Linked DNA regions of Lepisosteus oculatus. The protein of the gene in region 3 purifies or fractionates together with the protein of the main gene of each other region. This does not show direct contact. Links are inferred from orthologs where the notes say so. Each region holds a gene or a part of one and is shown on either strand. Other genes may lie near its edges.

What was found. The genes of interacting proteins can lie anywhere in the genome.
Region 1: the proteins of aar2 (region 3) and tssc4 purify together in Homo sapiens (affinity purification with mass spectrometry; 3 studies listed by BioGRID and IntAct, counting the BioPlex papers as one, with this or other methods). This does not show direct contact. The link is inferred for Lepisosteus oculatus from reciprocal best matches to the Homo sapiens genes AAR2 and TSSC4.
Region 2: the proteins of aar2 (region 3) and c24h9orf78 purify together in Homo sapiens (affinity purification with mass spectrometry; 3 studies listed by BioGRID and IntAct, with this or other methods). This does not show direct contact. The link is inferred for Lepisosteus oculatus from reciprocal best matches to the Homo sapiens genes AAR2 and C9orf78.

The regions. Positions count from the first base shown.
Region 1 is NC_090716.1:2,144,699-2,152,438, forward strand, and holds the start of tssc4 (U5 small nuclear ribonucleoprotein TSSC4), read right to left. Parts: upstream 3,057-7,740; 5' UTR 2,985-3,056; intron 2,125-2,984; 5' UTR 1,955-2,124; intron 851-1,954; exon of another isoform or gene 751-850; 5' UTR 678-750; intron 1-677. UniProt on the Homo sapiens protein: Protein associated with the U5 snRNP, during its maturation and its post-splicing recycling and which is required for spliceosomal tri-snRNP complex assembly in the nucleus.
Region 2 is NC_090719.1:7,922,674-7,930,381, forward strand, and holds the start of c24h9orf78 (splicing factor C9orf78 homolog), read right to left. Parts: upstream 3,057-7,708; 5' UTR 2,936-3,056; coding exon 2,856-2,935; intron 2,722-2,855; coding exon 2,662-2,721; intron 2,486-2,661; coding exon 2,434-2,485; intron 2,106-2,433; coding exon 2,035-2,105; intron 1,880-2,034; coding exon 1,802-1,879; intron 1,463-1,801; coding exon 1,265-1,462; intron 852-1,264; coding exon 715-851; intron 457-714; coding exon 358-456; intron 122-357; coding exon 30-121; 3' UTR 1-29. Other genes in the region: usp20 (ubiquitin carboxyl-terminal hydrolase 20), read left to right, coding at 5,521-5,601, 6,483-6,536, 7,252-7,314, 7,667-7,708. UniProt on the Homo sapiens protein: Plays a role in pre-mRNA splicing by promoting usage of the upstream 3'-splice site at alternative NAGNAG splice sites; these are sites featuring alternative acceptor motifs separated by only a few nucleotides. May also modulate exon inclusion events.
Region 3 is NC_090711.1:6,136,836-6,145,076, reverse strand, and holds the start of aar2 (protein AAR2 homolog), read right to left. Parts: upstream 3,339-8,241; 5' UTR 3,247-3,338; exon of another isoform or gene 3,202-3,246; intron 2,659-3,201; exon of another isoform or gene 2,656-2,658; 5' UTR 2,654-2,655; coding exon 1,891-2,653; intron 1,603-1,890; coding exon 1,373-1,602; intron 852-1,372; coding exon 684-851; 3' UTR 1-683. UniProt on the Homo sapiens protein: Component of the U5 snRNP complex that is required for spliceosome assembly and for pre-mRNA splicing.

The DNA.
Region 1 (7,740 bases), on a different chromosome or scaffold from region 3:
GTGGCAGTAACACTGGAGGTGTTATCATCTGCAAAGCTGCGAGAAATGAACTGAACCCCAGGTATTTTAACATCATTTTGGCGGGTCCTGTACGGGGAATTTAGCGCGTCCATAAACTACACAAATGAGATATACTGAGGAATGTCAAGACCATGTAGAAGCTACTGTTGCCTTAATGATGTGTAAGAATAATGGTGGATGGATGCTGCACACTGGTGGGGGTGGAGGGGATCCCCATTTCCTGTAAAGCCCTTTGAGTGGAGTGTCCAGAAAAGCCCTATATAAGTGTAAGCGACTATTATTAATTTGATGTCCGATAAAAGGAGTCTCCCAAAAAGCTAGCAACCCTCACATGCACATGCAATTAACTGCTACCTACAAAATGGGCTAGATGTCAAATGGCCTCCTCTCCTTTGTAAACTATCCCCCGTTCTTTCAGTAACATGTGCAATGAATAATGTGGTGCACACTGTATAAGAAATGGACCACTAAATTCTGGTGCCCCCAGGCCCTGCATACATGTCTACCAGTTACTGGAACTACACAACAGAGAGCAACAACCTCACTGGTCCGTATATCGGTAGTAAGCTCTAGCAGGCTACGCTGGGGACCCCCGTGGGAAGGAGAGGACGAGGGTGCATCGACAACGAGCCGCACCCCCCCCCGCGCCGGCTCACCTGTTCTTGCGACTGCAGCAACTTTCCGCTGTCCGGGTCAGTCAGAGCCACCAATCTCTGCAGCTCCTCCACTCTGAAACGTACCGGGTGAACCCAGGCACGAGCAAAACATTCAGCTTTTAGAACACTTTAAGGACGTTTCCAGACAGCAAAGACGACCGAGGACGGGGGAACTGTACACCGGAAACAAAAGCACAAAGATCAGACGCCACATCCCGCGGCTCTAAAACCACTCCGAAGTCGTCACACAGATCACATGGCGCGTGCATCTTCTGTATGGGGGGGAAAAACGCCCTTTGTGGTCTGGGAGTGCAATCGGGATCTTTTCCACTCCACTGGCTGGAGAAGCAGGCCGGGGCAGCGAGTGTACACATCTTTCCTGAGACCAGCAGCTGTCTGAGGTTAAAGAGGAGACAGCTGCTGTGCTCAGGAAAGACGACAGGCGACCGATTTCTGCAGAGAGGAGGAGATCGACGGCAGCAGAGCTTCAGAGGGTTTGGAAACAGGACTGGCGCTGCTGCATGAAATTTGATCTCATGCGTGTAATCTTGCAAGATTGATCAACTGCTCAATGTGTACACTTGCATTTTATTTTTTTTTGTGAAGATAATGCTACTGAATCAAGGATTAGAATCAACTTGGAAACTACAGTGTCCTCTGGTGTGTGAGATCTCTGAGGGAAAACTAGAGTACTGCTGTAGGTGGTGTTGGTGGACCAGTAGGCGATGCTCTTGCCTCTGGACCTGAACTTCCCAACCAGTGTTCCTATGTGGCGATCATGGTGCCATCTTTCAAAGGGGCTGTTAACCTCACTAATTACCCCAGGGCTGTGTGAGAGAGGAGGGGTGCTCACACTGCTGTCCTGACTCTGGGCTCTACAGTCTGGACAGTAAACTGACTCCTGACTGCTGGGTCACTAGAGACCCCAGGGCTGTGTGTGAGAGGAGGGGTCCTCACACTGCTGTCCTGACTCTGGGCTCTACAGTCTGGACAGTAAACTGACTCCTGACTGCTGGGTCACTAGAGAGTTTGTGAAAAGCAAGGGTGGTAACATAGTGTCCTGGCTAAATTATACTCTGGTACTATACAACCTCCTTCATGTAAAGCTCCCCTTTAATTGGCAAATGTGAGCAATTTTCCCATTTTCTCTACAGCACAGGGCCCATGTGCAATCAGTTTAGATGTCATGCAGAGCTACGAACTCTGGGAAACGGAACATCCGGGACATGAGGATTTGGGATTTTGCAGGCGCCGGCGGGGAGTTTGAAACCTGGCACCTGTGGAACTGCAAGGCGGCATCTTACTGGAGGTGCAGACTCACAGGTTCTGGGTGCTGGCGAGGATGGTGCTCAGTTCGGACAGGATGCCAGCTTTAAGAGAGCGAGAATCGGCGCCCGTCTCTTCCATGACGTTCCGGTCGTGCGTTCAGCAGCCAGTCAGCCGGGATCTGGGAGAGCGAGGAAGGGGAGAGAGAGAGAGTGGATTGGGGGCCCTAACAAAGTACCTGGCCGTTTGATGACTGAACTATCTGGCGCCCTCTAGTGAGCGTCCGTGTGTCCCATCATAACGCATCGAACATAAAAAACAACAACAAATGAGTCAACAACGACCTGAAAACGCATGAAAGTCAAAAACTCATCGCTTCAGTTTGCGATCTCCGAGATTTTTAAGTCTGACCTAGGGTTACCGTATTCCTAAAATAAAAAAACGAGGACACTCCGTGGATTGGGGGGAGGGGGGGTTGTATGTTTAAGAATCTACCAAATCTGGGATTTATATATTTCAACATTCACGCAAGCCACAGGGGGTGTCGGAGGAGATATCTGCACCAGTAGATATTTATACTGGTACTAGAGACCCTGGTGAAAAGGAAAAGGGGTCAAATTCCTCAGGGCCGAGATTTAAGAAGCAGAGGAGCAGGCCAGGAAAACCCGGACCTTAGTCTTGCGTGTTTCTGCACGGAGAACAAGCTACAAGACGCATTAGGAACTGAAATATCTTCGCCTTGTCTTCACTACTCGTGTTAAACGGGAATCCTTAAAAACAAGGCGCCGGGAAACGATTGCTCTCCGTGTCTGAACACATTTAAAGGCACGACGCTCGGACATTTCGGCTGCTGTATCTGGCCCTGCATCCCTGTCCGTCTTCCGGGAGCTGCAGACATGCGCCCGAACCGTCGGATTCCGCTACAGTCGCCACAACCACGAACGCATGGACTGCCTTTGGGGTCGTAAAACAACCCCGGATCCCAAAAAGATCAGAGTTGTTATTTTCATAACAGAAACTCCCACCACCCCTCCATCTTACCTTTCTTCCCGCGAAGTCAGGTTATTCTCTGCGCTACTGCATGCCGGATAGTGTAGTCTTTCACTGACGTAGACCCTTATTGCCCACAATCGAAAAACTACAACTCCCAGTTTCCAAGAGCAAGCGGAAATCCTGTAGCAGGTGGGGTGGGGGCTGTGTTTGTGGTAAGTAGTTAATGAGCTTCACGCTGCTTAGGTTAATGTAAGTGCAAGTCTGGCGATGGTGGATCTAGTGTTACAATTTACTTGTCCCGTGCATGATATTGTATTTTGTTGTGGTTATATAAAAATGTGTATTTTTATCCCTTTGCCTTTTCCAATTGCTACATGCGGATACAGGAGACCTAACTCTCAGGGGCCTCTAGGGGGCGGAAGGGACACGTTTATAAAAGCAGAACAGCTTGTTCCGATTCTAGATGGAGGTTAAACCTTTGAATAACTATTTTTTTTTAAAAAAAAAAACAAGTCATTGCTGAGAGATTTGTGTTATTATGTGAGTGTCAGGGTGTATTGTGAGCAATCAAGGGGGAAACGCTGAGATAATGTGCCAACGATGGAAAATATAACTTTTTAATAACCCCTCTGCTCCTACTGTATTCAGGATCCCCATCTACTGTCTCCTCTCACTGTGTGTTCTCATTGTGCATATCTTGTTTTTTTATCGTTGTTGTTCTATAAAGTGCCTTAAGAGGCCACCTTTAAAGGTGCAATATAAAATTATATTATAATATAAAATACTGGAGCTCCGCAGGTGTGAGCCTGGCCAGTACCTGGATGGGAGACTCCTGGGAAAGCTGAGGCTGCTGCTGGAAGAGGTGTTAGTGGGGCCAGCAGGGGGCGCTCACCCTGCGGTCTGTGTGGGTCCTAATGCCCCAGTATAGTGACGGGGACACTGTACTGTAAAAAGGAGTGTTCCTTTGGATGAGACATAAAACCGAGGTCCTGACTCTCTGTGGTCATTAAAAATCCCAGGGCATCTCTCTAGAAGAGTAGGGGTGTTACCCTGGCGTCCTGGCCAAATTTCCCCCTGGCCTTTACCAGTCATGGCCTCCTAGTAACCCCCATCTCTGAACTGGCTTCATCACTCTGCTCTCCTCCCCACTGAGAGCTGGTGTGTGTGAGAGGACTGGAGCATCATCCAGGTGGGGCTGCACACTGGTGGGGGTGGAGGGGATCCCCACGACCTGTAAAGAGCTCTGAGTGGAGTGCCCAGAAAAGTGCTATATGTGTCTACTAGTTTTTAAATTTTTGTTCGGCATTTAAAAGTGTCTTCTGAATCTGCAACACCCCGTACAAAGTTTCACATTTGGAGTGGAGCATCATTAATAAAATTGCATAATGAAGAATAATTGATTATAATAAAGCTTTTTCCCCCAAAGCAGCTCGCAGATAGGAGGTCAGGGGAACCATCTCATGCTCTCCAGGCTGACGCAAAGCAGAAGCCACAGCACTCAGCAGCCTGAGGGTCTACCCACAAGACACCAACCTGAGTTGGGACAAATGCTGCGACACTTTTTATAAAAAAGGACAACAAACTCTCTTTTTCCTATGAAAACCAAGCTATTTCAAGGTAGACAGAATGATCCTAACACGTTTTATACTAGACTTTTATTGAAAGTGTACTAACGTAGTCTCACATGCTAATTTGGTAACATCAGTACCATTGATTGTAACAGGCTGGAAAAAGTAGTCAAATTAAGTAGCACATTAACTGGGGCAAATCAGATCACCTTAAATACCCTCTACAGGTAGAGGGTGGCAAAGAAAGCACTGTGTATTGTGGATTGTGTCTCTCAGCCCCTCCACTTTGAGTTCACTCCCTCTGTGTCCCCAGGTGTGATACTAATAGACACAGGAAATCTGTCATCCCCACTGCAATAGACATATACTGTAACTATCTTCTTCCTTATCTTGCTGGAACACTGTTGCACTGACTTCTTTGGAAAAATGTTGTCTGCCGTTGTGTTGTTATGTTGGGAGTGTGCTGTGTGTGTCCGATGGGACAAATAAAGCTTGAATTTAATTAAGACCAGGGCGAGGAGTGAGAAACTGCTTCACTGTCAAATATCCAGGACACCAGGGTTAACATCCCCTCTCTTCCAAAGAGCCCTGGGATCTTCAATGACCCAGCAAAGTTTAACGTCTCGTCTGAAGGACAGCAACTCCTACAGCACCGTGTCCCCAGTCGCCATACTGGCTACTGGTTTGGAGGTTGAGGGCTAGAGGGAAGCGCACACCTACTGGTGTGACCTCAATACCACTGTCTCATCAGAACGAGAGTCAGTCTGAAGTCCCCAGAAAGATGGGTAGCACACCCATGTGTGTGCTTAGCCTGAGCATCTGTGAACGGGAATCAGTGTGCTGGATCATTTGGTTTATTCTTGATAATAGAATAACTAAACCATTGAACCGGTTAAGATGGAGCCAGCTGGTGTTTTCTACCGTTATAGCCTGAGTGATCTTGGGACCTTAATCTAGATTGTTTTCATAGAAAGAATACAGAATACTGCCATTTAACTAGTCTTAGCATAGGAACAGTTTACATACAACTGCAGTCTGAACACTTCTGAAATCTAGTCAGTAAGAACAAACTCACTCTTTGCAAGAGTCCTTACTGTGTTCCACAGTGAGCAGGTCCAGAGTGGTCCTGCACTGCTGGGCGAGGTGTGCTTTAGATTAGCGCAACACTGGGCTGCTATTGACGGAACTGGGGCGATAATTTGACGAGAGGGGAGGCCGGCTCTTTGGGTGGCGTATCAAGCACCGCCTGAGCGCCCTCGCTCTGTAACCTCAGTGCCAGCCCTCGCCCTCAGCTCGGAGACCAGCCGTGGCTCATCTGCGCCCACAAACCCCCAGTCTGCGTGCGCCCCGCACCTCACGGCAGCTACAAGTGGGTTTTCAGTACCGGGGGCCAGGAATAGCGCGTGCAGGAGCCCTGTGCCACGCCCCGGCCTGGTGGCGTTCCCAGAGGGAAATGAGAAGGCAGGGATAAGATAATTGGTACTTGAGCTGGGAACCACTTGAAAACGAAGGGAAGGGCCGAGTGCTGCTAAATTTGTCCTGATGGGAGGTCTGGGATCAAAACTGCAATTCAGAGGAGGAGTGGGAGCAGCTCGGGAGATGCCTTTAAGGAAGGGGGTACACCCCAGCGCCCGTGCGAACTCAACTTTAAGGTATCTCACTGCGCTGGCCCCTGTGCTGGGCGGATCACTGGGGCGCATGGAGTGTGTTCGCGTTGGAGCAGAACTGACAGGAAGCACCGATTCTCAAAATGTGTGTGTGTGTTTGGGGGGGAGGTCGGGAAACCCTGGGGTCCCCTGAAGACCCCCCAGAGGAAGTCCCCGAAAAACCAACATGTTCACCATGATAGAGATAAAGCCAAGTGGGACAGGTGTTCCCCGGCTAAGCTAGAACACACAGACTAGATGAATGCACTGTGTGTGAAGACGTGCCCTAAATATTCCCTTCCCAGTGATGCATTTTGACATTGACCGTGTCCGTGGCTGTGTCTTAATGTAGGGTTCTTCTTAAAATAGTCAAAAACTGGGCTGGCAAGTCCGAAGGTTTATTCTTGAGAAACAATTTCCTCTCTGTGTGTATTGTGGGTACAGATTTGTGAGCGATCACAGTTTTGTTCCTTGAACAGCCCTTTGTACCACATTGCAGTTAAATGAGGACTCGTTCTTTATCCAATCGAAGTTACATAAAATAGCCCCAATTTGTGCAGCTCATCAGATAACATGTCAGTAACTAACAGTGCAATGGTGCAAAAAAAATACTAATAACATGTTGACGTACTGAAGCAGACTCCCTGGTGTGGAGAAGTGGTCAGGGCTGTGTGCGACACTGTGGTTGAGTCCTTTAGCAAAGTATTTCACTGAGGCTGGTCCGGCACACAGCCTACTGCAGAGAGGGGCTCGGCCCTCTGGGGCCCTCCATTGGCCCATCGGGTTCAATAAAGGATTTTAATACAATATGACAAAGGAAGGTCAAGATCATAGGAACCAGCCAAAAATCAAAAATATTAATCATCAATGGTGTCCTTGGTGCCAAATTCCCCCCTGGCCCTTACCAGTCATGGCCTCCTAATAACCCCCCTCTCTGAACTGGCTTCATCACTCTGCTCTCCTCCCCACTGAGAGCTGGTGTGTGTGAGAGGACTGGAGCATCATCCAGGGGGGGCTGCACACTGGTGGGGGTGGAGGGGATCCCCATGGCCTGTAAAGAGCTCTGAGTGGAGTGTCCAGAAAAGTGCTATATAAGTGTTAAGGATTTAATTATTAATTATTATACAAATACAGAAAAATATGGAGAGATGCCTAAGAACTCAAGACAGGTTGCAGATGAGGGGGAGGCCTGTGTGGTTTGTTGGATGAAACAAGAGCACCTTCACTTTTTGATATTTATACTTCCCAATCTAAGACAGATCCAGCGTTGGGAGTAGATTGTGAAAGTGCACTTGTTTTCACTCTTCTGATGCTTGTGTATCACCAGATCAAAATCCTTTGGGTTTCCCAGGGCGATGTAGAATATGCAAGTCAGTAATGTGATCGGGCAGCTTGCTGTGCTGCAGACTGACACGGGTCTGGAGTTTGACTGTTAAAGTGCTCCTGCCATTGAGATTCTTAATTCCAATGGTTTTCCAGGTTCCCTCTGATCAGTAACAGCTCAGGAACCTCACAAAAATGGATAAAAGAGTCCAATTAATGTTGTAACTGGACCAATAACCTCCATACTTCACAGATTAAGAATGGATG
Region 2 (7,708 bases), on a different chromosome or scaffold from region 3:
CAGTCATAGATATCCTCAGACAAATCAGTTCAATATCTCCTGTTCATCTTTTTAAACTTCTCATAATGGTAGTCGTCTGTGGCCTTCTCATTGGCTGGTCTCTTGCGATTAGGAGGCGTTTCTGTGGAAGACAAAGGTGCAATTTTTTAGGCTGTTGTTACACAAATGTGTGTTAAACTTGGATATTCCTACTTATTTTGTACTAAATGGCTTTCAAATTTAACAGAAAAATTAACTTCAGGTTTACAGGTGGTAAGTTGTCCACTTCAGCAAAAGAGCATGTGAAGTAAAAATAATAAGATTTGATTTAAAACTGAATTCATTTTAGTACACGGTGATTGTTCTGTCAACTCTTACTTTCTGGTTCAGGTTTCTCAGTGTCCCCCACTCGAAGTGGCCGAGCTTTGGGCTCCTCTCTGTGTCTTTTTGCTGGTGCATTCACATCTTCATGGTAGACTAAAATCAAACAGAAGAACAGGCATTTGACATTACACTACACTACTGGGCAGTGCATAATGTTGATCCTATATCCTTTGGCATACAGATTCTAAAAGGATATAAGTAACTGAGGATAATGTACTGTTACTTCAATAATCTGGCTCAGTCAGTTCAAGCCAAATCGTGTTACATTATTGCACTATCAATACAGGAATCTGGGATCAGTTAGGCTTGACATTGTGGGTCTTTATTAATTACAAAGAGAATGGGGCTTACAGCGATTGTGTTGAACATAGTTCACTGCTATGTTTGTAGGTACAAAGGAAGTGCTGCTGTCCTTCTTCTTGTTGCGTTGCTCCGCTATGAGCTTGGCCTTGGCGTCTTCGGTGCTAATGATGTTCTTTATCTTGGCACTGAGAGACAGTGAAAAGAGACAAGCATCTGCGTTCTTGTTCAAAAACCAAACCTTCAATGTCACTGCACTCTAGGCATTCTGTTCTAAAGTGTCCCAAGAACAGTAAGCCAACAGAGGTAGTACATTTTTGTTTAGAAGTATATCCCATTAATACAGATAGACGTACTTGCTTTGAGATGATAGGGTACTATAACTACAATATAAGCTAAATTATTGAAAAGAGAAATATTTAAATGAGCAAGACAATCACATTACAAATTGCTTGGATAAACAGTAGCTTTACTGTGAGAACACATTTGTTTGCATAAGTAAAAGGAAATTAAAGCCCGTTTTGGAGTACAATAATGTCCTAGAGTGCAATTTATTTTAAACACAACTTTTGTTTGTTCCGTTAACTGATCAATCACTCACTCAATTCCAAGGTCGACTTCCGGAATGCCACTCAGCATCTGGTTGGAAAGCATTTCTTCTGTTTTCTTGGCGGATGAGACTCGGATATTCTCTGGCAACTCATACAGAAGATCCTCTGCGTTCTTCGCCTTCACCTTTTGCTCCTCTGCCTCTACCAGTCCCTTCTTCTTCTTAAGTTCTGTCTCAATGTACTTCATCCTGAAAGCACATTGAAATGTTTAGAAAAGAACAGCATGAGAAAAAAACAGCTGGTCTCAGGACTGCCAGCTGTGCTGTAGCTCAAATTATAATCGACAAACTATAATAAGTACACTGTTCTCTTGAATATAGCTCTATTTGCTGCTGAAAATTCAACAGAGGGCAGATTACTGTATTTTGTCATTTCAGAAAAGTTCATTTGACTCTTTTCACAGTGTGGTCCCGGGGAATTTCTATAAAACATATCCCATACTTTTGATAGCTGATATCTGCATTCTTACTTTCTGTATCTTTTAGGAGGCCTTAGATCACAACAAAAGAAACTGAAAAGATACCTACATGTCAGCATCTTCATCACGACGATTTGTCTCTGCTGAGAATGACGTTCCCAGATTCAAATCGGTCTCGTCTTCCGTCCTAGGAGAAGAAAGAGTATTTATATTTTTAAAATTTATATCACTGCAGTTTAATTATGGTTTAACAGGTATTCAGGTTAATGATGTATACACCCAGATATATACAGATCCCCACATAATTTTACACTGCTGCATTAAAAAAAATAAAACACTCACATGTCTCTGTTCCTGTCTTTGATTTTCTTCATATCCACAACTCCCCCTGTCTTCAATTTAAAGGGATCATCCTAAAAAGATTAAAATACAGTACACACAGTAAGCATGCATGTACACATATTTTATATACATGTACATGTTTTGTTGTAGTACTACATACAACAGTTTTCCAGAAGGACAGACAAAAATAACCAAATGCAGAGCATCATTCAACAACTGAAAAACTGGATGTAAACTGATTGCAAGGTTAAACCTTTCAGAGACAAAATATACTGATTATTCAAAAGCACATTTGATGCAAGCTATTTCACTGTTCTACTATCATTATTACTTGTGGGGCTTCTTTTGGAAATGAAATAAGACTTTGGCAGATAAAACCTAAACATACAGCTTACGTACCTCGATCTCCGATTCAGGTGGCAATTTTTCACCAACCAGTAAGGCTGTAATGCTAAGGAAAACAGAAACGCAGTTAAATATCAATAATATACGCCAAAGAACTGGGAAAGCTTATTGATATTTCTGTGGACAAACCGAGGCTTAAGGAAAACTAGCTAGGACTAAAAAACAGAAATGTATCTTTTGAATACAGTGCATTGTTTTCAGTACCATTCCCAGAATATTTACCTCACGCCACTCTGTCTTTTTCTAAGACTCTGAATTTCCTTTGCTTCATCAAGTTTAGATCTGTAAGGGAAAAGAACCGACAGGTACCACATCAGTGTGTACCCTAAAAGAAACACCTTTCACCCTAAGGCGTTCCAACAGATTCAGCTGTTTCTGACTGTTTTAAAGCTAAACGCTTCTGATCAAATATTTACCTGACTTCTGTTGTTGTCTCCTCGTCCTCCTCGTCGTCAGAATCATCTCTCTTCCTTCTAAAGTTTTTATTGGAAGGCATATTCGTCTTCTGTTTTGTTAAAAAAAATCAACAAAAAATACGTGCGTACATGTGTTCCCTGTTTTCACGATTCTGCGACCCACAATTCCAGCGACTTCCAAGAGGATGTTACGTCACTATGTTTTGAAGCCGAAGTAATGACGGTGTGCCCTCTGAAGGGCAGGAAAAACAGAAAAATTAAACGAGTCGTCTTCGTTTCCCTAAATACATTTATTTTGCTTTGGAGCAAAAGTCTTTCAATCTAAAATCATATGGGTTTAAACTGAGTTTCTTTTTCTCAGCAAAGTATATCAACATTAAATACATTTGAAAGTACAGCATTAAAATTAATCAAAAAGCTTACTAAAATTGAGCTAATATCGTGTTTTATTGTAATGTTTTTTTATTGTAATGTTGAAACAATATAGATGCCACAACCTTCTTATTATTCTTAGTCAATAAATGTTTTTAATTGAGAGAAATGCCAACATAAACCGAAGCAGTGCTCTAGACCAGAGAACAGGTACAGTATGATAAAAATCCCTGCATGGGTATCTCTCACATAGAAGGGTTGGTTTGAGAAAAATAAACCTTTTGCAAATTTAGTTTAGGTTACGGAAGTGTTTTGGAAAGCTAATAAAATCTAATTCAAGACACAACGTCACTCTCATTCAAATTATTGTACGACTTATTTAGAGCACTACCAGAATTGTATAGAATAACTGACCCAACTGTGGTCTCTTGCAAACAAACAAAGCATGCTGCAATTACCAAAAGAGTTTTATGAACGTCTCGAGTGAAAACATGTTTGCACTACGGATATTCTTGATCAGCAAAGAAACCAGAAAATATCCACAGTCCTCGGCAATAGTCAACATCACTGTCACGCAGCGCAAACAAATCTGACGCTGAGGCACGCTGTAGCGATTCAGAGAGCAGTGTAGCATCTCGGCTCCTTAGGTTTCTTTATTCATCTTTTTTTTCCAAATGTTTTAATGTTTCCGAAGCTCGTTTTCACACTGCTGGCTGCAGGTAAATATACATTTCTTAGGTGCTGAACTGTCAAGTATGTCAGTGTCTTTTAATTTGCTGTATATGCGTTTTTCCAAAGCGTTTGGTCTGGTGTAGGAAAGGCCTGTAAATTATAGTGTAATGAGAGCCTATAGCAGGAAGCTGAGTGTTGTCGGAGCTATGTGTGGCTTTTAGACCTGCTCACTGACTAATGTGCAATACGCACAACGCTTTTGTTTTTGTTTTTGTTTTTATCTCGCGTGTAAAGTGCATTTCCTTCATGCATGGAAAATGTACAGTCATCGTGTCAGAATTGAAAATGCTCAAGTGCATAATATGGCGATAAACATACTGTTCTGAAGGCAACATTTTTTATGATTTAAACATATTTAGTGAGACGTAGAGAGTAGCCCTTTTTCTAAGGAATCCTTTATGTTTAATATTTAACATTTGTATGTGTTTTTTTTAAAGAATTGTCATTGGTACAGTAGGAAATCATCACAGTCGTGAAAAGGACTCTTGGATCAATGCTTTCGTGACATATAATGGCAAGTCGTTCACTTGACGGATTAACATGTAACCGTTCAATTCTTTGATGTGTGGGTTCTGAGCATTGTTATGTGTTGGTAGTCTTATGAGATTTGCGTAAAATCCTCGGCATTTTTTCACACTCGGCTTCCATTATGACTGCCTAAGGATGACTAAGGCTTTATTTTTGCAAAGAAATATAACCGCATTTAACACGGCCAATATTCTTAACTTCTATTTCTGTGTAATTTGACGTGGAATTTACAGTATCACAATGTCCAAAAGGTATTGCCAGTTAAATACATGTGTGGAGATGCCTTTAGCTACTTAAAAATAATGAGTGATGATGATGACTTAATGGACTGAGGGCTTGTCGAATCATTTTATATCATTAGTAAGACTGAAAGGGTGTTATTGATATTACTAGTGTTTGAAATCTAGAAGGGAAGAAGTCCTCGTTTATTTCATTGTGCTAAATATATTAACGATACTGACGAACTGGTGTAATACAGTAATCATTCATGTTATGCTCATCCCTTAAAGTGTCAATAACTTAGAAACCTGTTATTATGATGTCGTCTTCATGGGATCGGTAAACATTCTTTGTAAACTTTGGTAATGATTAATCAGTAGTAACAGACACAAGATTTGTTTACAGTCTCCGATCTGTCACCATCAAAATTAAATAAAATTTCATGTGACAGCTGTCTGATAAAAATCCCTCTAGGGCTGTTCTTACTTGGTTCTGGGCTGTTTGGACTGTCTGAGCTGACGTTTTAGCGATATTTAAGTTGGTCTAATTGTTTGTGAAGGATGAACTAACTAAGGCCTTTTCTGACTGAAACGAGGAATCAAAATTAAATTCCCTTGTCACTTGTACGTTTTTGAAAATGTACTGTATTGTTTAATATGCTTTCACAAGTAGATTAGAATACAGATTATGCGTTACTTAGCATTTGGCAATAACACAGTAGTAATAATACTGTAATCACTGATTTAATTATTTTTATTGTGTTTCCATAATGTGCATTTGTATTTTATCTAAAAATAGGTACACGTCAGAGGAGATGACGGAAAACGGAGATCTTTGCCCTCATTTAGATTCTATAGGTGAGGTTACCAAGGAGGAATTACTGCAGAAATCCAAGGTGAGAACACATATCTGTTGTCACTAATCTGGTTGCTTTTAAAAAGTGTTTGCCAAGTCCTTGAGTTATTAAAAATGTCTTGTTGAAACCTTGAGTTTTGCTGGTGAGGTTTCAGTAATAAGAATTATTTGAGCAGTGTAGCTGACAAGACACATGCAGTAATATCTTGGAGTGAGCTTCCTTCTGTAAAATAACAGTGCAAATCATTGAAAAATCAGCATTTTTAGTAAATGTGGCTTCATAAAGATGGATCATTGCATCAATGCGGTTAAAAAAATAAAGCTACTGTGAGAATAGAGTACAAAGACAGTGTTGTATTACACCATTCACAATTGTTTGATTCAGACTGCAGTGTGCAATGCAAATCAAGGCCTAAGGTGGTCTTTACAGGATAAGCAAACATGGAAAATCACATTCTGGAGCTGCACAGTCAACTCAGAAATCTGAAGACATTTCAGCCCAGGTTAGCCAGGAGGAGTTTTTTTTAGCCAAAATCATTTGACAAACAACTAGCCACAATTATTACGGTTTCCTGTAGTTTTGTTCAAGTGAACTTATTTTTTTTTCCTTTGACTTTGCTGTTACAAATGCAAATATTGGTATAAACAAAGAGGACTTTGATGAATGCTTTTACATCTTCAGATTAGCTAATTGTTGAATTGAAGGATGCCAATAGTCTCTGCGATTCTGGTTGATTTAAACATATATTCTTATGTGCATTTAAAATATCAGACTTTTTTCGACTCTGAAATGCTTGAAGCATTGCAGGTATTGCTGTTATGTGAACTTCAGTAATGCCATTTTTCTTACAGGTTCACTAGTTGATGACATGCCAGAAAGTCCAATTGAATATTTTTGTTTTTATGTTGTGGGGGATTTAGGGAACATGCCAGTCTTGTGGCGCAGGGGGACCTAATCTCTGGGCATGTCTACAGGTAAAAGAGTTGTTTATTTGTGCATTGTCATCTAAGAAACACAGAGAATAGCACAGAGCGTCTTTCAGCACCTATGGAGATCTTTCCTATCTCAGTTCTTCCAATCAGTACAGGTCTGAATCTTTGTAAAGCACAAAGCGTTGTCATGCTCCGACCTCTATGAACATTTGAGATTTTATATGCTTGTATTTGCTAATATGTCTTATCATATATACTGTAGCACAGGAAATGAGCAGTAATATTATTTCCGTATCAACCTACATAAATAATCCTTGGCTAGAATCTGTTAATTGGCAATAACGTGGCACTGATTTATTTTCATTTCTAAGAGGTTTGAGTGGGAAGCTGTCTCAGTGTGCACTGACTGCAAAGGAAGCAGTAAAGGTTAATTCCATACCTAAATCGTCAGGAAGAAAACAATGTTTCAGTTTAAGGCGACACTCACTGGAAGGAAGATCAACGGCTGAAACGTTTAGCTTTTTAGTCTTTTCTACTTTTGAACGTGAAATGAACCTTTAATTCTTCCTGCATTTTAGTTTTAGATATAGATGATTCCTTTTTTTGTTGCATTAGATGATCTTATGATTTTAAGGTAGAATCTTAAACATGATAAACAAAAAAACTAAACCCAGGCATGGAGAATTCAGTAAGGTGCTGTTGATGGCTAGTAAATGTACTTCATGCTCTTTTCTCCTGTGTTTTGGCTGCGGTGCAGAAGGATTGTCCATATGTGGGTTGTGGGGAGTCTTATGCAGATCACAGCACCTTACATGCACAGGTAAGATAGTGGCATTTTAAAGTTCATTTGGCTGAAAAAGCAGAAAGTTGTTTTTTTTTGTCACAGGCTCACACTGTACATCTGCACGTTTATACATTATTTAATTAATAGATTGACCAGGTAGTTTGTTTGTTTCATGGTAAGTAAGCTTATCTGATATTCTCCACTAGATTTGCTTTGCATTATTTAAGGCTTGCTCAAGTCCAGAAAGACAGATGAGGCTGGAAAATGAGATCAGAAGGTCAGGGGACATGAAGAGTCTCACACAATCTAAAATGGATTCATGTATGGACATGTGGGGATATTTAAGAGAGGCTTTTTGTTCATTTATGCTGCTGACATCTTCTTTCAGGCTAAAACGCACAACCTGACGGTGAACCTAACCACATTCCGG
Region 3 (8,241 bases):
TCATATCAATCTTATTCTTCTTCAGGGTATATGGCTGTTTACATCATTTTATACTTAAATATTACAATAAGCAGTAATCTGAAATCTACCTACAATTGTATCACTCATGAAGTAGAGAAAATAAAATAAACTTATTAAATTGAACAAAAGAGAGATATTTTCCAGTATCAAAAGATGAGTTTAATGTCTTCCTGTGATCTGTATTTTCTAGAGACCATGTCAACGTTAAGTCTTCAGACTTTCATTCAATTTTTAATTTCATTCACACCCCAAATACCACAGTAGTTGCAGAAACTTCAAAATCATGAGAAGTCTTTACGTTTTGTAGTCACATATGTGAAACAAAACAGAGCACCGAACAGCTTCCAAAATCCAATCAGGAAATGAAAAACCTGTCTCCTTGTCAAGAAGTGATACAGATGGTTATCTTCAGAGATCTGCTCAGAGTGCTGTCCATCTGTGTGCCACAGAGCAAAATGTTATTAAAAAAACATCTACAAAATTCCCAACAAGCCCACACTTTTCTTTTTGGAAACCAGACTTCTCTATTCCACTACAGGTCTCTGTTACAAGCACAGTTGATCAATCCCAAAAAAAATCCAGTGCCGTCAGGAATCCATAACTCACCGATATGCCCAACATCCTGGCTCGACTCTCTTGTTGGGCTGTCCCAGACGGTAGCCTTATTCTGGAGCCACTCCTTCTGGCAGCTCTACAACCACAGGGGCACATTCCTCGGGGTCTATCTCAAAATCCCACCGGAACTTCTTGGTCAGGTAGACTTTGAACTTTTCAGCCCGTTTCCGAAGACCACTGTCCACACCAGGCCCACTCGTGAACAAAAAGAACTCCTGGGCAAGAGTAAAATCAGAGATCAGTGCAGAACATGCAGATGGGCCACATGACCACCTCTCGTTTATTACCACCCTCGTATTCTCCTGGCTGGTGTTATAACCACCCTCGTATTCTCCTGGCTGGTGTACGGCAAAAAACAAAAGAAGAACATGATTTTGTTTTAAATGAAAAACGTCTGACTAAGCTTCTTTCTGTACTCTTCCCTAGCTACTCTTTTATGTATAACTCTCAGATACTGTGAGTCCCCAGATAAACTGGTAGATCAAACACGATCTCAATTTTCAACAGAAAAAAAAAACTCGGAAGAGAAGACAACTTACCATGGTAAAACTTGGGGTGACAAACAGCTTAGATAATGAAAATCTATAAGAGCCCCGATTATGGCCTAAATGAAGCGCTAGATCACGCAGGACTTTAACCCTTCTTTTACTATTCATATTCTGGATTTGGAGTCTTCCTACGCTGCACAGCACTGAGGCAGCAAGACCAGCTTTGTGAAGAGAACCAAACAACCTACCTGCAAGGTGGAAGTGAGAAAGTTGTCTTTGGATACGATGTCTACAAAGAAATCGGGGGGAATCTCTCCCAGCTGGTGGTAGAGAACAGGGATGAGGTGGAGGTACAGGTTCCGGTGGTTGAGTATAGCCTCTTCAGAGCGGCATAGCAGGTTCAGAAGACATTTCCAGTGCTCAAAGCTCTCATACACATTCCCAATCAGGAAACACACAAATGCAAACTGCAACTCCCCTGGACAGCAAAACAGAAAAAAAAAAAAAAGAGAGAAGGAGGAGAGGAAAGGTCATTTACTTACAAACTGCATCAAAAGCAAAAGCTTATTGGAATCCTGAAAACTGAAGTTTGTTAGAATTACACTGAAATGAATGGCATTCAACTACACAGGCTAGTAGTCATCTCCTGATTTACTGTATGTGTTCAGAAAATAAAAAAGGCTGGCATTTTATAGCATCAATCAATGCAAGGAACTGTAAAGGCTTTGAATTGTGTCAGAGTGTGTTTTTTCAGTCCAGAACTCACCCAGCACTTGCAGTGGCTCGTCTTTGTAGTAGCGTTCTAGTAAGCTGTTGAGGGCATAACTGAGGTCCATACTGTACTGGGTGATTTGGGCAGGTGTGGCCCCCTCAGGGTAGGTCTGTTTGGGGATCTCTGAGAAGCGCAGCTCTGTGCCGGCTCTCAGCTTCATCTTAGGCAGCCTGTCCAAACCCTCCTGCATGCTCTGGCACTGGATGTCGTACCGTGGGAGGTTCTGCTGGACCCGATCTTCCGTGTGAGGCAACGACAGTTCCGGTACCACATCGCTGAAGGCACAGATCTTGCCATTCAGGGGCTGCAGGCGTTGTGCAACCTCCTGGGTGACGCGGTCCGTCAGGGAGACCCACTTCCGAAGCATGTCGTAGGGGTACGGTCCCAGAAAGCGGTCCAGATCGCGCAGCCCAGCCCGCACCCGGGCCACTTCCTCCTCGTTCTGGGAGGCGGAGAAGTCCAGGTCCTCTTGCTGGCTGTCCCAGTGAGCCAGCAGGACGTCTCGGGCTTTGAGAGAGAGGAAGACCCCAGTCCGAGGCCCAGTCTCCCCTCCTTGCTCCGGCTTGTTGGAAGCGCTGTAGTGCAGGAAGTGCAGGCCCGGTGGGATCATCTTGACCCCTCGGAACCTGGGACCCACCTGCCAGGTCTTGTAATCGATCCCCAGCTCCGACCCCTCGGGCACCCCCAACAAAACCAGTGTGGCCCCCTCCTCAAACAGACTGCAGGCCAGTTCAGGATCCATGTCCATGCTGGCCATATCTACTAGAAAGAGCACAAAACTGACAATTAAACACTTACATGGACCACAGCAAGACATCAAATAAAATAACCTAGGAGCTAAGGTTTTAATAAAGCAAAACATTGTGACATTTCTGAAACAAAAGGACCTAGGTATGGCTCCTCCATAATACTCGACAAGGCTTCTGCAACTACAATTCGCACCTAAAATAGTCAACTTATCTACAATGGAAAAAAAAACGACAATTCACTTTTAAATTAAGTCGTTCTTGTGGCTCCAGACAGCGTGAGAATGAAATGTCAAGATCAGTTTACCCGGTATTTTACATTAAAAAGTGCTAAGAATGATCTATACTATCAGTCACAATCACTAACCCCAACTTAGAAAAACAAAGATGTTTTCCCATAGTCGTATAATTCCTTTAGCACAAAGATGCAAGTATAAAATTACGAAAAAAAAACTGTGTTGAAACGTTTCGTTTTAAAAAAATCTTTCTAATTAACTGCGACTTCAACAATACGATTTCTTGGCACTGTACCGTAATTTTCTAGCCAGCAAAACGTTACCTTTGAGGGCCTAATATATATTTAGTCAATATATAATGAAGTCACCTGAACGATCACGGAGCGTAGCTCTGTAGCATAGCAGACAAAACTCCACGTTCCTGAACGTAAACGCGTAGCAACGTATTGTGTACCAGAGAGCTCACTTCCGGTCCTTTTTTGTTAAGGAACCAAAAACCAATTAGAAAAAAGGTTCCGATTATACAATATAAACATTTTAAGAATCTCCATAGAAAATTAATCCTTAATAGGTATTGGCCTCATTATGGAGCAGGTATGGCACCATTGGAAAAACTTCCCTATAGAAATCTGTAAAAAAAAAACATAATAAAGTAAAATTACGATATTTAAACAATCTGATATAAAAACAATATGTATTTTAGTCTTTAAAATAATAGTAATATTATTCTCGGGGGGAAAATACTAACACAAAAGAACTTAGGGCAATAGTAGATGCCTCAATGCAGGGATAAAAAAAACATTCCACAGCTCTTGAGGAGTTATTTGTTAAATTGGACCAATTTACAAACTTCTCCCTGCTCTTCAAATTCCGGCTCTCTAATTAGACATATAAAACCTATGTTCAGACTGGCCAACCAGGACTAGGTTTAGTCCACTGTGCTATAATTCAAAATGACTACACACCTATAGGGCCAAGCTGAATTCAATTGTTGTTCTAATCTTTATTTTAGCATGTAATATTAACTACCTTGAAATAATATTCAGTGAATTGAGGTGTTTTTAATCTAAATCCACAGTGTATTACAAGACATGAAATAAAATCACAAAGCTAATCAAATAAAGTAGGATTAAAATACTTCATATACAGTAAATGTAATAACAATAATTCATAGGAAGAAAAGACATGGTTTATTTAAACCGATCTATAAACTGCAGTCTTGTGCACGTCATGAAACAGATGAAAGATGGCCATCATTGAAGTTTTGAACACAGAAACATCCAAATATACAACAACATGCATTTTCTGTTTTCTTTTATTGACCTCACTCTATTTGCACCTTAGTCACAAACTATCTTATAAAGGTTATACAATCTTTTACAATATCCATTTAAATCAAGCTTCTAACTCTCAAGCATATGATAGCATTGCATTTCAATAAAAGCACCAAATGGAGAGCTCGAATCTTTTCCCTTCATTGACCTCAAAGTACTGAAGAAAGAGCTGCACGCGTGACGTCACCATGGGAACGGCACCATCTTGGATACCAACTGAACGTCAACACCTTGAAGGTCATTCTGTTAATCAGCTAACTTGACTCATAACAACCCTATAGTCATATAAACATTTTCTTCAGCTAATATATTTTTGGATGGATCTTGGAGACAAAATCAATACCCACAATAGAACATACAGGCAATATAGTATGTAAATACAGTACAAAGGACCAGCTATACAGGCAATATAGTATGTAAATACAGTACATGTTAACAATATAACTTTACGTTAGCCATACAGATTAAACAGCATTTTTAAATGTCTACAATAATAAATGCATTATAGCTTAAAAAGATCTTCTTAGACCATATTAATAACAAGATATGCTATTTTATAGCATCATTTATGACACCATGCTGATATTGTAAGACAGGCACATCTCAGAATTAATTAGAATATTGTGATGGTGAACAACATCAACTAAAAACAAAGAATCTATCTCTTGGAAAACATATAATTACAAACATAAATAAAAAAATAATATTCTTGTTCTTATAACTAGCATAGGTTTAGGTTAAGGGGATACATGTTAATAAATAGTACAACCTACTAAACAAAAAAATAAAACAGAAGTTGAAAAGTCTTTTATATTTTAATTTTTAAATGATTAAATGAAAAATGATGCATTTAATACATCTAACTCTCAAAGTCCCAGTATCTATACAGCATACTGTATGTGAGTATGGTACATTTCTATGAATATGTAAGTGTCTTTCCAAATATTTCTTCTTAAAGTATTTATAAAAGCTCTCACATTAGGTGTGGCAAAAGCTTATATTTTGTACAGTTTTTGACTGTAACTGCTAAAATCTTTATTGATTATTTACAAATCCCTTAACAGTTCTTTCCTTTAGTGTGTATTCCTCCTAGTTTATGTCTTTCTTTTTGGTTTTGGAGAATACATGATTTGTAACTTCTTCCAACACAATATTAAGGCCTCGATAATCTTCTTTTTCTTTTTTTTCCTTCTTTTCCCTCCTAAACCTTTACTATTTGTGCATACTGGGTCACCTTCTGATCTTCTTATCTGAAAAACAAAATACCAAAGCATATATTCCTTGTTAACCTCTTGGAGAAAAAAATCATTTCTTTTGAAGCATCACCAGGTGAGAATTTGTGTTGTGTACATGCGCTATTCAAAACTGTGGAAGCACAGCGAACAATGATGTTGGGGAAAAGGAGAATATTGTTCTCTCTTTTTCACTACAGTCCCTAGATTCACTTCTATCTTCACATCCCTGAGCAGAAATTCATTATCACAGACTTTTGTTCCTTCTGAAATCACCAGCAGTTTCAGAACCTACTGTACATGAGGATTAAAATCTCCAAATTGATTCCTTAATCAATAAGAATAAGCCTTAAGTGAGTTACTTAAATTCTTTTCCTGAAGTCTGTTGATGATTAAAATAAACTTATAAGTCTGTTGATGATTATAATAAACTCATAATATCTGCTGGACTTAAGCCCTCTTCTAAAGTGTTATATCACAGTAACTTACCAGGTCAGCATAATTGCAGTTTTGTTTAATAACCATTTCCATTCTTTTCACAGGGTTACCTAGGTTATTTGATCCTTTACCTTTGACTTGACATTTAAAAAACTGTGTCATATTGTAGATAGACTGCAGGATATGGTGTACCTAAAATAATCAAAATAAAATTTCAGGGTTTGAAACAAAGCACTGGCAGAGCAATTAGTTGAATTCAGATATTAAGCTAGAAGGCTATTTAGCAGATAATTCAGACTTTGCATCCTATTCCAAGACATGCTTCCTCGTAAGTGTCCAAAAGCATAATGAAAAAAAAACTTCCCTTTTAATTAACTTCATGTTTCTCTAAACCTATAGAGTATCATATTTACAAAAGATTTACAGCCCAATCATCAATCTTCAAATGAAAAGTACTCAGTTCCAGCACAAATTATACTCTGCTGTATCATCATGCACTGTTGCCTAGCCATGAAAAAACTGATTATGGGGTGGCAGTATACAACTTACTGCTTGAAAATCGTGAAATTGTTCTCCACGTTTTCTCTTATAATTTCTCCTCTGACTATCAGAAATCCCCATGCTTAGCTCAATGAGTAACTTGATGGACTAGTTTTTTTTGAGAACTCCTAGTGGTTTGACTGACATAAGACCAACACCTTTCACAATTCCCTTGACCCCAATGGCACTGAAACACGAAAAAAATAAATCTGCCGTGTGCTGTCCTTGGTGCTGAATACCTCTCTTGTAAGGGAGAATGGTATTGAACTGTTTTCTTTCTGACCTGCCTCCTGATCTGAATAAAGGTTTTTGTTACAGAATCAATGCATTTTATGTGACAATATGCTTAGAAATTAAAACTTACTGACTTTTCCTGACAATTGTTCAACAACGGGCTTACTGTGGCTTCATAGAACATTGTTCTACTTGTCATGGTGCATGCAAAACAGGACTAGGATGTGACATCTTGGAAAAGGAATTAAAAACTGAGTTATATTGCTCAGAATACTGTCTTCTATTGTTCTTATACTCTACGGATAGAAACCGGTGCCCTACAGAAATAATTATGTTCACTCATGTATTTTAAGATAGTGTATACAGCCTCCCTTGGGAATTCTGAGATTTATTTTTTTCTGTATTCTTTGTTTTCCTCCTGTTCTAAAAAATATACGAGAATATTACATACTGTAACTATAACGATATGCATTAATTAACTTTAATAGAGTACTAGGTACTGCAAATACACAATAGACCAGTCTAGATTCTGTTGTTTACATTTTAATTAAATAGATTTGTTAATTGTTTTTCTAAGATAACAATACAGTTAGCGTAAGTCATGTAACTTCCTACAGTTGTCAGTCTAATAGAATTTGGAATTTAATTTGAGTTACGATTGATAGCAGTAGTGTATTATGAATCTTTACAAATCTCCATTCACAAATTATACTCTTGATTTTAAGTCATGCAAGAAAGGCAAAACATACAACTGAGCTTTGTCCGAGTAATCACTATCATCCATGCTCTCAGCATGAACGAAGGTGATTTAGATTTTGTCTAGTGTATATATACATTTAAAGATCCTTGGAGTTTTACATACTATACCAGAATACCAGACACATACAGTATACATGTATACTGTACAGGACATACACACATCAGGTAAAGTACACACAAGTTACATTAGTGGAACTAAAATGGCTAAACTCTAAATCATACCTTTCCAGAGGGGCAATGGTCTCTTAAATTTTTATTTTCACTTGATGTGTCATAAGGACCTGTGAGGTTCTAAAAAAGAAGAATATTGATCAGTCCACAACAGCAATTAATTTAGGTTGAATCGCTACAAGATCTCCCAAACCACAAGAGGGCAGTAACTCACTGACTCTGACAATGTTTCGCATTGAGAAAGGCTGTTGCCTTTTAGTATTTTAAAATAACTCCCGTAAAAGTCAGGCAAATAACATCATGAATGCACAGACAACATACCCACATACAGTATAAATCCAACACACACTCAAACATATATAAAGATGAAGTTAAATAGTATCATCACCCGAAGAGGGACTTCTGTCCACAATGACGTGTACCTACAGTATATTCTGTAAAATTATTTTAACCATTAAACCTTGTAGTTGGACACTACACGAAAGCTTTTTTGATTTATTGAGCTCCTCATTTTGCAATAGTTCCTGTTTCATTACAAACACATACATAACAAGTACATACCAGGCTTTGGAGTTCTGTGAGGATTAGTTCTTTGTAAGCGATGAGGATCTCTTGATAGTTGCACCTCTGTCTACTGTTTGAGATGTCCGAAAAC